Drosophila melanogaster: one gene and its partner. The protein of the gene in region 1 interacts with the protein of each later gene in a biochemical or structural test. Each region holds a gene or a part of one and is shown on either strand. Other genes may lie near its edges.

Region 1 (7,322 bases):
GACGTCGTCCCATAGGTAAACTTACTATGTAAGTATGTTAGGGCAATTTATAAGATAAATTAGTTGTTATACTAGGACAGCATCTAACGTGAACATACTCAAACTCAACCAATTGAGTTTCATAGCAAATACAACTTACATACAGTTCCCTTTGAGGTCTTCGTACTCATTCTTTAGATTTGCATCATGCAAGCACTCGAACTTATTTTCATCGCTTCCATCCCAACAGTCGATCTTTCTATCGCAATTTAGAGTTCCATTTAAACACCCACCATAAAAACCCTCCTCATCGCAGACCTTGCTATAGCATAATTCGAACCTTTGATCTGGCCGATCGGAACTTTCATCTGGCAAACAATTGCCAATTATTGTTTTTAGTATTAGACTTCAAGGCAAGCGACCCATCTAATAGTAAGGAAAGCAGAAATGTGCAATCCAATGATATAATAGGTATCTGTTAGTCTGTACTCTTTTGTATAAGCAAGAATCTCCTCTTATCAGTGCTTTAAACTCTGTTAACTATAGTATACTCACAGAATTAAGAGAGCTGATAAGACACGTATTAATGCAAATAATTCGCAGTGCACATTGTTTTATATAATACCTTTTATTACTGAAATTAACCATTTGATGTAGCTTACAATTACAATTACATATAATGTAGAATTATACACATCTCATATAATTTGGGTTCCTCTGCACAAACTCTTTGCATATGTATTGGTAATTATTGTTTTTCCATTAGACGAATTGAAGTTTTGATTGGACACGAATTGAAGTTGTATCTGCGATTCTCGCGAATCGCTATGTATGCTTGTATATATCCTTATGGTTGTATGCACGTAGTTATTCAATGAAGTTTAATGCTCTAACACTCAGTTTACAAAATATACGTAGAAGCGGGCTGATGTCTATATAGATCTGGTATAGTTTATAATTGTATTCAGTACACTTAATATCAGTAGTGGATAATGATTCGGTGTCTTCGTTAAGCTATGCTTTCATCGGGGTCTCCTCCATCCGTTGCCTTTAAAGGTAGTGCCGCTAGATACACCTGTAGTGCTTATTGCGTTCGGTTTGAGCTATTCGTGAGTGGTTATACTCTAGAGTATGTTATTGGTAATTGATTCCTACATGTACTATGCTGCTTACATTATTGTATTGTGTTGGTTTCCTCTCCGAATCAATGTTTTCTGACTTTTTCGATCGATTTGTGTGTGGTTTTGTAGCTTCTTGGTGCTAAGCATTCTGCTGCGTGTTCTCTCTAGATTCAATTTGGTTTAGTTTTATTTGTTTCATTAGTTTTAGTTATTTGTTTTTATTTTTAAGAGTACGTATAAAGTGTTAAGCAGTAAGCATCTATCTTTGCTTCGTTCTGGACAAAACTTTAAGAGCTTCCGGGGTGTGCAAATTTGATGTCTTGTATCCATTAAAGCGATGGTATACTTTAGGTCTTTACAATCAAACTAAAATATTCAAATAATTAAAATTAAATTGTACAGACATATGTATGCTTAAACGTTAGATATCATAAATATTTTATACAGATGTATGGTTAATAATATATCTTTTGAGGAAATCAACTTCAGTGGTGGGCACATTAAATATAACTTCAACTATTTGATATGAAAATCATACATGAATATATAGCAACAAAGTCGGTGTCAGTTTAAAATATATTGAGAATTCCCCTGCCTTGCTTATTCTCATATTTAAACATGTCTATATTGAGATGTTTCTGAATTATCTTACACTTACATGCACTTTTAGGGTCCTAAACATTTTCTAATACATTTAATTTAGTTAGTGGTTGCTTGGTAAATATTTCTTTTCTGCTTGTGGCGTTAACGGCCAATTATCTCGCATTAATCTTGCTTCAAACTCAAAGCAAGTGATCTCCCAGAAATCAAGTGAAATATAAAGTAGAAAGTAGAAAATAAACTCAATCAATATGCAATCATATGCCAAAAACCAAAGAGAAATTCATGGTGGCAACGAGGTCACATGACTCCCATTTCGGTTGCCTGCTCCTGCTCCCTTCCCCCTCATTAAGGGGCGCCTGCGCCCAGGAGGTTCCTGCCCCTCCCCTACTCGTTCAGCTTGTGCCACTCGGCGATCTGGCGGCGCGGCGAGTTGCAAACCTCGTTCCAGTGGTTCAAGGCGGTGCTGCTCGAGTTCGGGCCGCCCAGCTCCAGCCGACCGATGACCTGTGGAAATATCGAGCGTGCAATTATCCAGCTATTGGCATTAGGTCATCCCATGCGACTTACCTCATTCTTGGTCACGCGATCCCAGTCGAGCAGCATCAGTTCCAAAGACACACCCTCAAGACTGGCGCCAGCGCCCTGTAATTGAGATATGCACGTTAACTTATGATTCTTTAAAATTATTATAAAAGCTTTTCAAAAATAGTCCGTCCATGTTTAAGTTCTATGATAATTATACGAACACAAGAAAACAATTAACAATTAATCTATGCTAGGTAATTGATATGGTGTTTCGTTAAACTACAAACAAATAGTAAATGAATATACTATTACTCACTTCGGCGGCGGGAATATCGAATGCGAAGCTCTCGTTGAAAACGGGGCTCAGAGTTCGTTTCTTCACGTGCGTCTTCTTCTTGGCGATGCGTTGGCCATTGTAGAGGAGATATATCTTAACATACGGATCGGCCAGTCCGGTGACATCCATGCGCGGTAAGTTTCGGGCCTTCAGCAAGACGACGGTGAGGCGACCGGCAGCTGGTTGCCAGCAGAGGGAGATGAGCAGCTCCCCGCGACCCTGGGCTCGAATCTTCAAGCTCCGTGGCTGGATCTCTTTGCTGATGGACAAAGCCTCTTTGGAGATGTCCCCGATCTCGATGGAGGTCAATGGGCACACCACTTCGCCAATGACGTCGTCACGTGAGTATCGATCGAAGCTGAGGATGACAAAGTGCAGCGACATGTTCTGCAGGTCGTTCATGTTCAGGCCGTAGAAGGTGAAGTCCTCGTCGTAAACCGGGTTCCGGGTATTTCGCACCACCCGGGTCTTGACCTTGTGCTGCTTGTCCGGCAGCAGCTGCAGCTTGACATACGGATCCGTTGCCGCCTGAGTGCGTCCATTCATGCCAGTGGGAATATCTCCGGTTCCGCTCGATCCTCCCTTGCAGGGGAGTCCGCGACAACGGATGATGGACACCATAAGGGCGTTCCTTTCGGCCAAGTAGCGCAGCTTAAAATAGATGGTACCCAGCTTGCCGTACTGGTCGGTCACGGTCAGCTCCTTCCCGTTGGTCAGCGAATGGTCGTCCAGGGTAATGGTCACACTTCCGTTGGCGATCGTCTCTACCGGCGAGTGGTGAAGGCTGTTGTGCAGCGAGTGCTTCAACCCATTACCATCCACCACGGTCAGTTGATTGCCATTCTGCTGCTCCGCATGCTGGGCGGGTCCATCTCCCTCCTCGCTGTACTTGACATTCGGTTGCGCAATCGGGGAGGTGGACTGGTCCTGCATCGGCGACAGCAGTCCCATCTGCTTGCCTCCCGTCGGCGAGGGCGACTTCTTCAAGTAGTGCGGCGGCTGGCCGCTGGGCGATCGAACGGCGGTCGGTCGCCGGGTCGGCTGGAAGGGGAACGAGGCGTCGTGCTGGCTCTGTTTCTTGTTCCGGAGGCGCATCTGCCGGGCGCAGATGCAGGCCACTGACGAGAGGACAGCAGCCGCAGTCAGTCCCAGGATGGCGGGGACAACTGAAAGGACAACAGGTATGTTAGGCAACATATGCATAGTTTAGTTGTACCCAAAACGTTGTCTTCGATTGAAATATGTGCAAGGTGGTGATGGGACAATGTCACTAGTGTAACCTTAAAGCCATAAACAAAAGTAAAATTTACTCGTATTGTGTTGGAAGTTTTGAAAAACCCACTGTTAACTAGCACTAGCACCCCATTCCAGATTACATATATAGACGCTCAATATGCAATCTCAAAATTATATAATGGGATAATTAAAAGAATTTAAAACATAATAGAAAATTATATAGAACATTTTATCATTATAAATCTAATACCGAATATTAAATTTAAATATCCAATAATAACAAAAAGCGTTTTATTTTCTATCTTTTACTAATATCCGAAAACACAAAAGAAAACGTTTAATCACACTTTTGAATATGTTCTGTAATTAGTCACCGAAATGAAAAAATAGAAAGAACTTTTCTCCCTAACACAGCTGTGAGTTGTTTGTAGACTTCCTTTGTTATTAGAACATTAACTTTCGCCAATTCGTTTTGAGCTTATACATTTCACCCCAAATAAAAGAGCACAACAAATAACACATGTGCACGTATCCCCTTCGAAACCTGACAATCCAGGCACAAAGACCCGAATTAATTATTCATAGCCACCGAAAAAGTTTGGCACAACTTGTGTGCAACATTTTGAACAAGTTGCTAATGAGCAAATTGGACTGATCGACCACTAAGGTCGCATTGGATGCTGCAATATGGTATGGTACTTACTCGTGTCCATGACGCTGGCATCTGGGATATACTCTTCGGCCATTTTAAATGGATTTGGCTTAGCCGCTCTCAGCACGTTTCCACTCGATGTTCCTGGCGGCTGTGTGGAATAACAATTAGTCACGGTTTAAAAGTGAGGAGGAAAAGTTTTGCTGGCTGTCTTTGGATGTTTGCAACTTTCGGTGGCACGTGAAGAATTGCGTGCTTCGATTTTGCGCACAAATGTATGCTAGAGGCTTTTTCGTGAGCAGCAGCTGCCTGCTTTCTGCTCAGGTTATGCTGACGTTTGGCTTTTGTTGTTATTTGCATTACTTGAGGACACCCACTCAGGCACACTTTCTGGCAAGAGAGCGGGAGAGACACACACACACACACACACATATGAGCCACTTGGGTGCTCTTCTAGGGTCGCATGAATCATCGCAGCCCTTGCACACACGCACACGAAGTTTGCAGGTTTTTCAACTTCTGGAAACCATTTTTAATGGGAAGTCCCACATTTAGAAATGTTCCTTTCTTTCATTTAGGTCTTCGTAACGTTTTGAAAATATTCCCTTTTACTATCACTTCCAGTATCTGTATCTATTGTTTATTGCAGCATCAGAGATTCTCGGAAAAGCCATAGTAGCCACTTGATAGTTTTTACGTTTTCCTCGTAATCCTGTTTACGCCTACATTTTACTTGCTTGAATGTATTATAGCCTTACTTTTTTGTATCTGGTCCTGCACAATTAATATCCAAAAATTGTAATATTTTTCACATCCACAAATTGTGGAAAAAAAATCAACAACGCAGTTCTGCAGCCGTTCGACTTTATTTTGCCAGTGGCTTCTTAACTTGGCTGGGAAATCGTTAAACTCGCGCAGGCGCACGAGCAAGCAGCTTTTTGTGTGGGTTGTTTAGCCGAAAGCGGTGGTTGAAGAAACCTGTGACGTCTTAGCCGAAGTCAGGGGTGCTTAAAGAAAGTTTTACAACACTAGACCATATTCATGAGTAAAGGGTTGAGTAATAAAATACATAAAAAGTTATAAAAAGGTAAAATTTAGACCAATTTAGACCTACTCATTGCAAACACTCAAAAGCTCCCGGTTCAGACCAAGTTTCAGAGAGCGCAGCTTTGCGGCCAGCTTTAAGCTGTCTTTCGTTGAGTTCGAGCTTTTCGTCAGTTTAAAAAGACTGGCGCCTGCTGGTCAGAAGCTGAGTCGGTAACGGTCTGCGTCTGCGCGCAGTTCGAACAAGTTGAGAAAGAGACCAACAGAAAGCCCATCCAAGTGCAGTGATCAATACGGGTAACTGACAAAAACCCTAGAAGTCAGGGCTTAAAAACGATTTTGCAGCGCTGCCAGTGTTTTTGTGTGATAAAAAAAAGCGGCTCAGAAAAACTTGCTGACAGCAGATAGCACACACGTTTTTGTCGTCTTCGGGCCATTGAAAAATTTTCCCGAGGCATTTTCTATAAGGAATAAACAATTAATTCAATATTTAAAGCATAAAAGGAAACTAGACACCACATCACCGGACTCTACGATCGTAAGTTGATGCAATCGTCTTTATTTCTATTATTTGCTGCCTTTTCGGTTTTTGCACAACCCCAAAATCCAAAAATTCGCGATGTCCGTTTCTGGCATTGAGGAATCTCAAAAGATTTGGACAGCTTTTTGGCCCGAAGTCTGCTGGAAATTTGCCATTGTCATAAGCCCAAGAAACGGAATTTTGTTCGGTCTTCTGATGGCTCACGGCGATAAATTTACTGCACTTTGTTTGCAATAGCTCCAATTCGATTCGTTTGTTTTTCTGGCACAGAGCACAGTATGCCTCACGATTTCTGCTCTAGACACGTTTCTAATTTAGTTACTGGTTTATATTTCTTTTTCCACACATATCAAAAACGGTCACCCATTGTCTGCCATTTGACCACTAATCTGTTCGATTTTGTGCTCAATTACCCAGGGTATTATTCGAATGAAAAAGTGCCCACATTTAGGTGTTTTACGATACCAGCCAGTTCATTAAACGTCCATTGCAGTATTAGGAAATTAGCCCGGTTTCTCACCCGATTCCACCGCTTATTAGCCACCACCTCATTTTGACGGAATGAGTCGTATTGTAAAAGACAAACTACTTGCGCTTATTTATGTTGAGCACATTTCTTTCGATCCCAATTTCCGTTTGGTGCTAGCTTTGAAACCGACATATTCAGGCTAATAAGCCTACTTTTTTTTCATAAATTACGTTTGAGTCAGTATTATTTCTTATTTCAAACGATATTTCTATTAATATAAACAGAGGAGAAATATTTATAATCAATGATTAGTCATGACAAATATCAAAATCCCCAACAAATTAGTAACACCTTTCCTTTTAAATGAAATGAGCTGATATACACAATTTCAACGGAATCTCTAAAATATATAATCATTATAGTAAACATTACAGTCATGAAGAGGGTAGCAAAATAAAAAAAGTGATTCCCAACAAAATGTTAACTTTTGCAAAGGAGCTTTGAGCTAAAAACGCACAGGACTTACACATTTCTTTTGAACAAATCAACAAATAATTCCTATGCTCGCACATTTACACCTGAACCCATTAAAAAAGAGTTCGCATTTGTGTGCCTGGAAATAAGGTATCTCGATTTGCATATCGGATTCGATGTTCGTTTTAGGGCCTTTTAAATTCGCTTGTTTTTTCCATAAATTTTTTTATTGACGAGAGCAAATCAAATGGGGCGGCGATGATCCATCAACTTTATTGAGGGCAAACAGTGGCCAGCGAATGTGGAAGAAGGTTTCAATGTCTAGGGGGATCGGCGGGGGA
Region 2 (5,051 bases), on another chromosome or scaffold:
GCTCATTGGATAAGCAATCATACTGAAAGACCATAGGTTCGTTCACCAGATCAAAGGGCATCACATAAAATTAATTCAGTCCACTTGGTGTCATAAATGCCGTTAAATGCTTGCTTTTCTCGTCCATCGGGACCTGGTAATAACCAGAGGTCCAGCGTCTTGAAGTATATGCTTCCGGATAGCAGGGCCAATTGTTCCTCTACGATTGGCATCAAATAGAGCGTTTAAAGCCCGGTAGTCCACGCATAGGCACTCGTAATGGATACCACTATAACCATCGTCGTCGTCTTGCACCTGCCAATTTTCGATCCAATCTTTTTCAAAACATTCTTCATAGGATTTTAACAGATTGTTAATGTTCGTATTAACGTTGAGTTGACCGTGTCGATGAACGCTTTAAACTTTTGATCTCCAATCAGAACTGTTTTTACTATTGGCGGATACTCCTTATGTTTTGCCTCATGCACTTGAGCATTCTTTGACGATGTTTTCACCTTGCAATCCTGTTCATTATGCCCAATCCTAGAACATTTGGAACACCGTTCATTTTGCTGTTGCTTTTCATTGCTGTTACCTTGTTCAAGTGCGTATGTCCATTGCTAATAAGGCTTTCGTGAGTTCTTGTGAATTAAGTCCGCTGAAAATATATGAATTTATTGATGACTCCCACGTCGTCCGATACATAACATCGCATAAAAGTATTCGATGAATGACTCGCTATTGCGTCGCTATCGTCGCAATAAATCTCTTTGCACATCGGCTGTATTCATCACACTTGGAAAATCAAGTGCGAATGCCGATTTGAATGATTTTGAATGATCGATATACCTGCTGTGCATTCATACATGTTTTTGCAACTCCACGCATCTCCTTTAAATCATTGATTTGAGTTTGCATACTTGTGCTTGCGTTTTGATCCAATATTTCGTAAACATCAGTATCAATTTCATCATTTCCTAGTTTCGTCATCAATTCGTTCACCTTTGCCGGTTTTGTTTCCTTTGATTTGGATATCATGAGGCCGCAGGATCACGTCAGTAAATCACTAATCTTTAACTAATATTTATTTTATATATATAAATTTAATATTTGTATTGTGCATGAATCTCCAATGAGGGCGTCCAGCTCGCTGGAGAACGTCAAAAAGTTGACCACGCCGGGGACCGTGATCCGCAGTACTTTAGGTAGACGGCGAGTAGGTGGGGGTGCGCCGGGAGCAGGTGTATTAATTATTGCAGGCTTCAGTTTGCCAAGATCGATCGCGGCTTGCGAAGTGGGGGGGCATCCTTATCTGCAGGGCGATAACCGCACAAATCGTTTATAAGCCTTTAGCGACTGCAAAGGCGTGTTCCATGTGTTATTTTGGGGAAAAGAATGGAGTCGCTTTTGTGGCGTACTTCTTGGCATGCTCTAGGCAGAACCGGGGAGATCGGTGAAATGGATATGTGTGGATATGCAGTGGATATGCTTGATGTGGTCATACTTGTTGTATTGAAAGTTGTGATTTCCCACGGGGTGGAGATAACAAGGCATTCGCCATTGAGTAGTTGGGCTTGCAGTTCTGATGATCCTACATTTGCGATTGCCTTGATTTCGTCGAAGTGAATTGATTTCCTTAGTGATAGATTAATATTTTCTTCCATGCCAAAAAACTTTTAGCCACGCATACTCAAGCGCGCACTCTAAATAACGGGTATCTGGAGGTCGTTAACCTCTGCTCTAGCATTCTGTCTTTTTTAAATTAGGATCGTTACGATCGTCAATGTTTTCTGGTATCTAAGATATTTAGTAATGGCTTTCTTATGAGGGATTGTATTAGAGTTTTTTTAATAAGTATAAATTTACATTAATAATGCGTTTTTCGCTTTCTTTCTATTTTATTTTTACCAATATTTAAGCTTAACAGCAATGTTATTTTACTGTAATTAATTTGCAAATTGTTTTTAAGATTTTCTAGTGCTTGTAATTTAAATTAAATTATTATGTATTTCTTGCATGTGTTTGTCTTTCCTTAAAAAATATAAGAAACCAAAATATACCTACATAGCAACTGAAATTAATACAGATTTATCGTAGTTAAATAAAACAAGAGTGAATGCTATAGTCGAGTTCCCCGACAATCAGATACCCGTTACTCAGCTAGTGTGAAAGCAAACCCGAAATTGCATCATTTTTCTGGGAATTCGATAGATATTGGGGAATAAAATGAAAAAAATTAAAAATTGGTCCAAAGTGGTTCGGGCCAAGACCGGTTCGGTGGCTTTAGGGCGTTAGAGTGGGCGTTTCAAAAAGATTTTTTGCAAATCGATAGAAATTTACCAGACAAATAAAATTATTAAAATATTACTATTATTAAATTACTCTACGAGTAGTGATGATCAATAGCCAAGTCGATCTAGCCATGTCCGTCTGCCCGTATGAATGTCGTGATCTCAGAAACTTTTAAAGGATGTGTTGATATTTTTTGCGTTTTTATTAGTCTTGTAAATTTCTATCTAACGCCCTAAAGGCGCCGAACCGGTCAGGCCCATACTTTGGAACAATTTTAAAATTTTTTCTCATTTTATTCCTCAATATCTATCGATATCCAAGAAAAAATTTGGAGTTCGCATTAACACTAGCTGAGTAACGGGTAGCTGATAGTCAGGTAACTAGACTATAGCATTCTCTCTAGTTTTTGATTATTATTGTAAGCTTTTATTCGTGGTCATATATCAAAAACCAATTATTAAACTGTATTTCCATTTAACATTATACAAATCGATTTATTTTCTTGCGAAAGATTTCAAAAATAAAAGAAACCATCGAAATCACACTAGTCCATACTGTTTTTACAAATAGTTTTGACATGCTAAATTTATGCCATGCCATTTTTAGGCCGTGTTTTGCTTGCGATGTACACAAAAAAATATATGCATTTTCTTTTGTAGTACCTGACTTTTTAAATAGCTGTTAGAAGAATAAAAACGAATATTTTTCCCGTATCTTTTGATACCAAAACACACAGAACTGTATAAATATTAAACACCAAATTGAAACAAAATCAGGTGGTTCAGCTATGACACTTTTAGCCTTAAACACGTGCGCGCGCAGGGCTTATACGAATGTTTAAGTGTATTATTTATATTGTTCCCACCAGGAGAAAACGCAATAGTCCACTTCCTCGACCATCAAATACCGTCCACTCCCGTGACTAATTAATACCCGTACTCTTGATGATATGATACTCCCAGCTACTCTTGATGATATTCCGAATTCGAATAAACAGATGTAATAGTCTGGAAATGGAACAAGAGAGATTGCTATAGTTGGTTACCCCGACTATCAGATACCCGTTACTCAGCTTGAGGGAATGCAAACGCGAAATTTCGTCATTTGTATGGGATATCGATAGATATTGGGGAATGAAATGAGAAAAAATTTAAAAAAATATGTTTGAAAGTGTGGGCGTTACCGTTTTGGGCGTTGTGTAGGTGAAAGGAGGAACGTGGCCACAGTGTTTGGTAAAAATTTGAAAGACAAACAATCTCCAACCAATCTCTTTGTTTTTATAGGGGATGCATTTTGAGTAGACGTCAATACAGGATAAATATTCTTTATTGTCTAGCATTAATATCAATAACGTAAAGTTCTCTTCAGTTTTTTGTCTCTGGAGTTTAAAAATAAGTTTCGTTGGTCTACGTACTGTTTTTGCAAGATTGCAGACTTTGAAAACATCAATGATTTTTTGAATATATGTATTATAGTCGGGAAAATAGTGGGTTTTTTCAAAAACTCGTATAATTTTTTCGATACCTTTATGTGTTGAATTCAGCGTAATAGTTAATGTCCTTTAATTTAATTATAAAAACTGTTACGTTGCTGTTTGGGTTAATAGTTTCAAGACTTTTTATAAAATATTTTTCTATTTACAGATACATAGATAGTGATAGATAGATAGTGACAGTGACTTTTCCATTTTTCAAAGTGCGTATCATGAAACTATTAACCCAAACAGCAACGTAACACTGTGGCCCACCCCCCACTTTCAACAACAAAACGCCCACCCTTTTAAACAATTTTTAAATTTCTTAAAGGTGTAACGAGGATTATATTCAGTTCGTGGTGGACGCCGAACATAAGACCGAGAGCCTTTCCCACCAAGCAACACAATTTTGCTTTCATCTGACCAAAAAATGTTTCGCCACTTCTCCACAGGCCCGTCCTTGTGTATCTTGTCATATTCAAATTGCTTTGCCACATGCTTAACAGTCAAAAGCGGGACTTTTCTGGGGCTGCACGCATTAAGGTTGCTTTGTCCTAAGCGTTTGCGAACAGTTTCCACGCTTTTAGCTATCTGAAGCTCCTTCTTCCATGTTTCGTTCTTTTCGACAAACAGCAGTGCTTTGCGGATCATTTTGTTTCAGCAACCGACAATGCGACCAATTTCAGAGTAGGTTTTACCTTCAGAGATCATGTTTTTAATCAAATTTCTTTTTTCGACGGTACAATGCTTTCCGCGACCCATGACTAGAGAATTTTTGGTCTTCGTTTGGAAAAAATTCAATTAAAACCTTTAGTGCAACTCCGTTTTTCAAAATTTGTCGAAAAAAAACCAAAGTAATCACCCCTATTAATTTTATTCAGCAAATACGTGGTCAGTGCTATTTTTGTTACCGCCTCATTTTGGGCACTTTTGCAGCAAGTGCCCAAAAACAAAAAAGAACCGTTACATTGAAAGAGTAAAAATTTCTTGCTCAGAGATGCAACATATGGTACTTATTATTCATACAATCTGACTTAAAAAAAAAAATAAACATTTAATAATTTTTTTTACGAAATCAACTTTCCACCTGCAGTAGTGCTATTGTTTTAAACGCAGCTGTATATACAAAAGTTACGCTTTAGATTGGCCATCAAATAGTCCAGATCTAAGTCCCATAAACAATTTTGGTGGCTAATAAAGAGAGATCTTTGAAATGAGCCACAAAGGAACATTTCGGTCTTTAAACGAAGTTGTAAGCGATGTGAGACTCGATTTCTCGAGGACATTGCCAAAACTTTTTAAAATC

The links.
Region 2: of the proteins of Syt4 (region 1) and Snap25, one has a biochemical effect on the other in vitro, tested with the Drosophila melanogaster proteins (one study listed by BioGRID).

Annotation. Positions count from the first base shown.
Region 1 is NT_033777.3:7,264,078-7,271,399, reverse strand, and holds Syt4 (synaptotagmin 4), read right to left. Parts: upstream 5,336-7,322; 5' UTR 5,212-5,335; intron 4,605-5,211; 5' UTR 4,548-4,604; coding exon 4,505-4,547; intron 3,732-4,504; coding exon 2,545-3,731; intron 2,346-2,544; coding exon 2,271-2,345; intron 2,208-2,270; coding exon 2,088-2,207; 3' UTR 591-2,087; downstream 1-590.
Region 2 is NT_037436.4:24,072,193-24,077,243, reverse strand, and holds the start of Snap25 (Synaptosomal-associated protein 25kDa), read right to left. Parts: upstream 3,065-5,051; 5' UTR 2,934-3,064; intron 1-2,933. UniProt on the Drosophila melanogaster protein: May play an important role in the synaptic function of specific neuronal systems. Associates with proteins involved in vesicle docking and membrane fusion.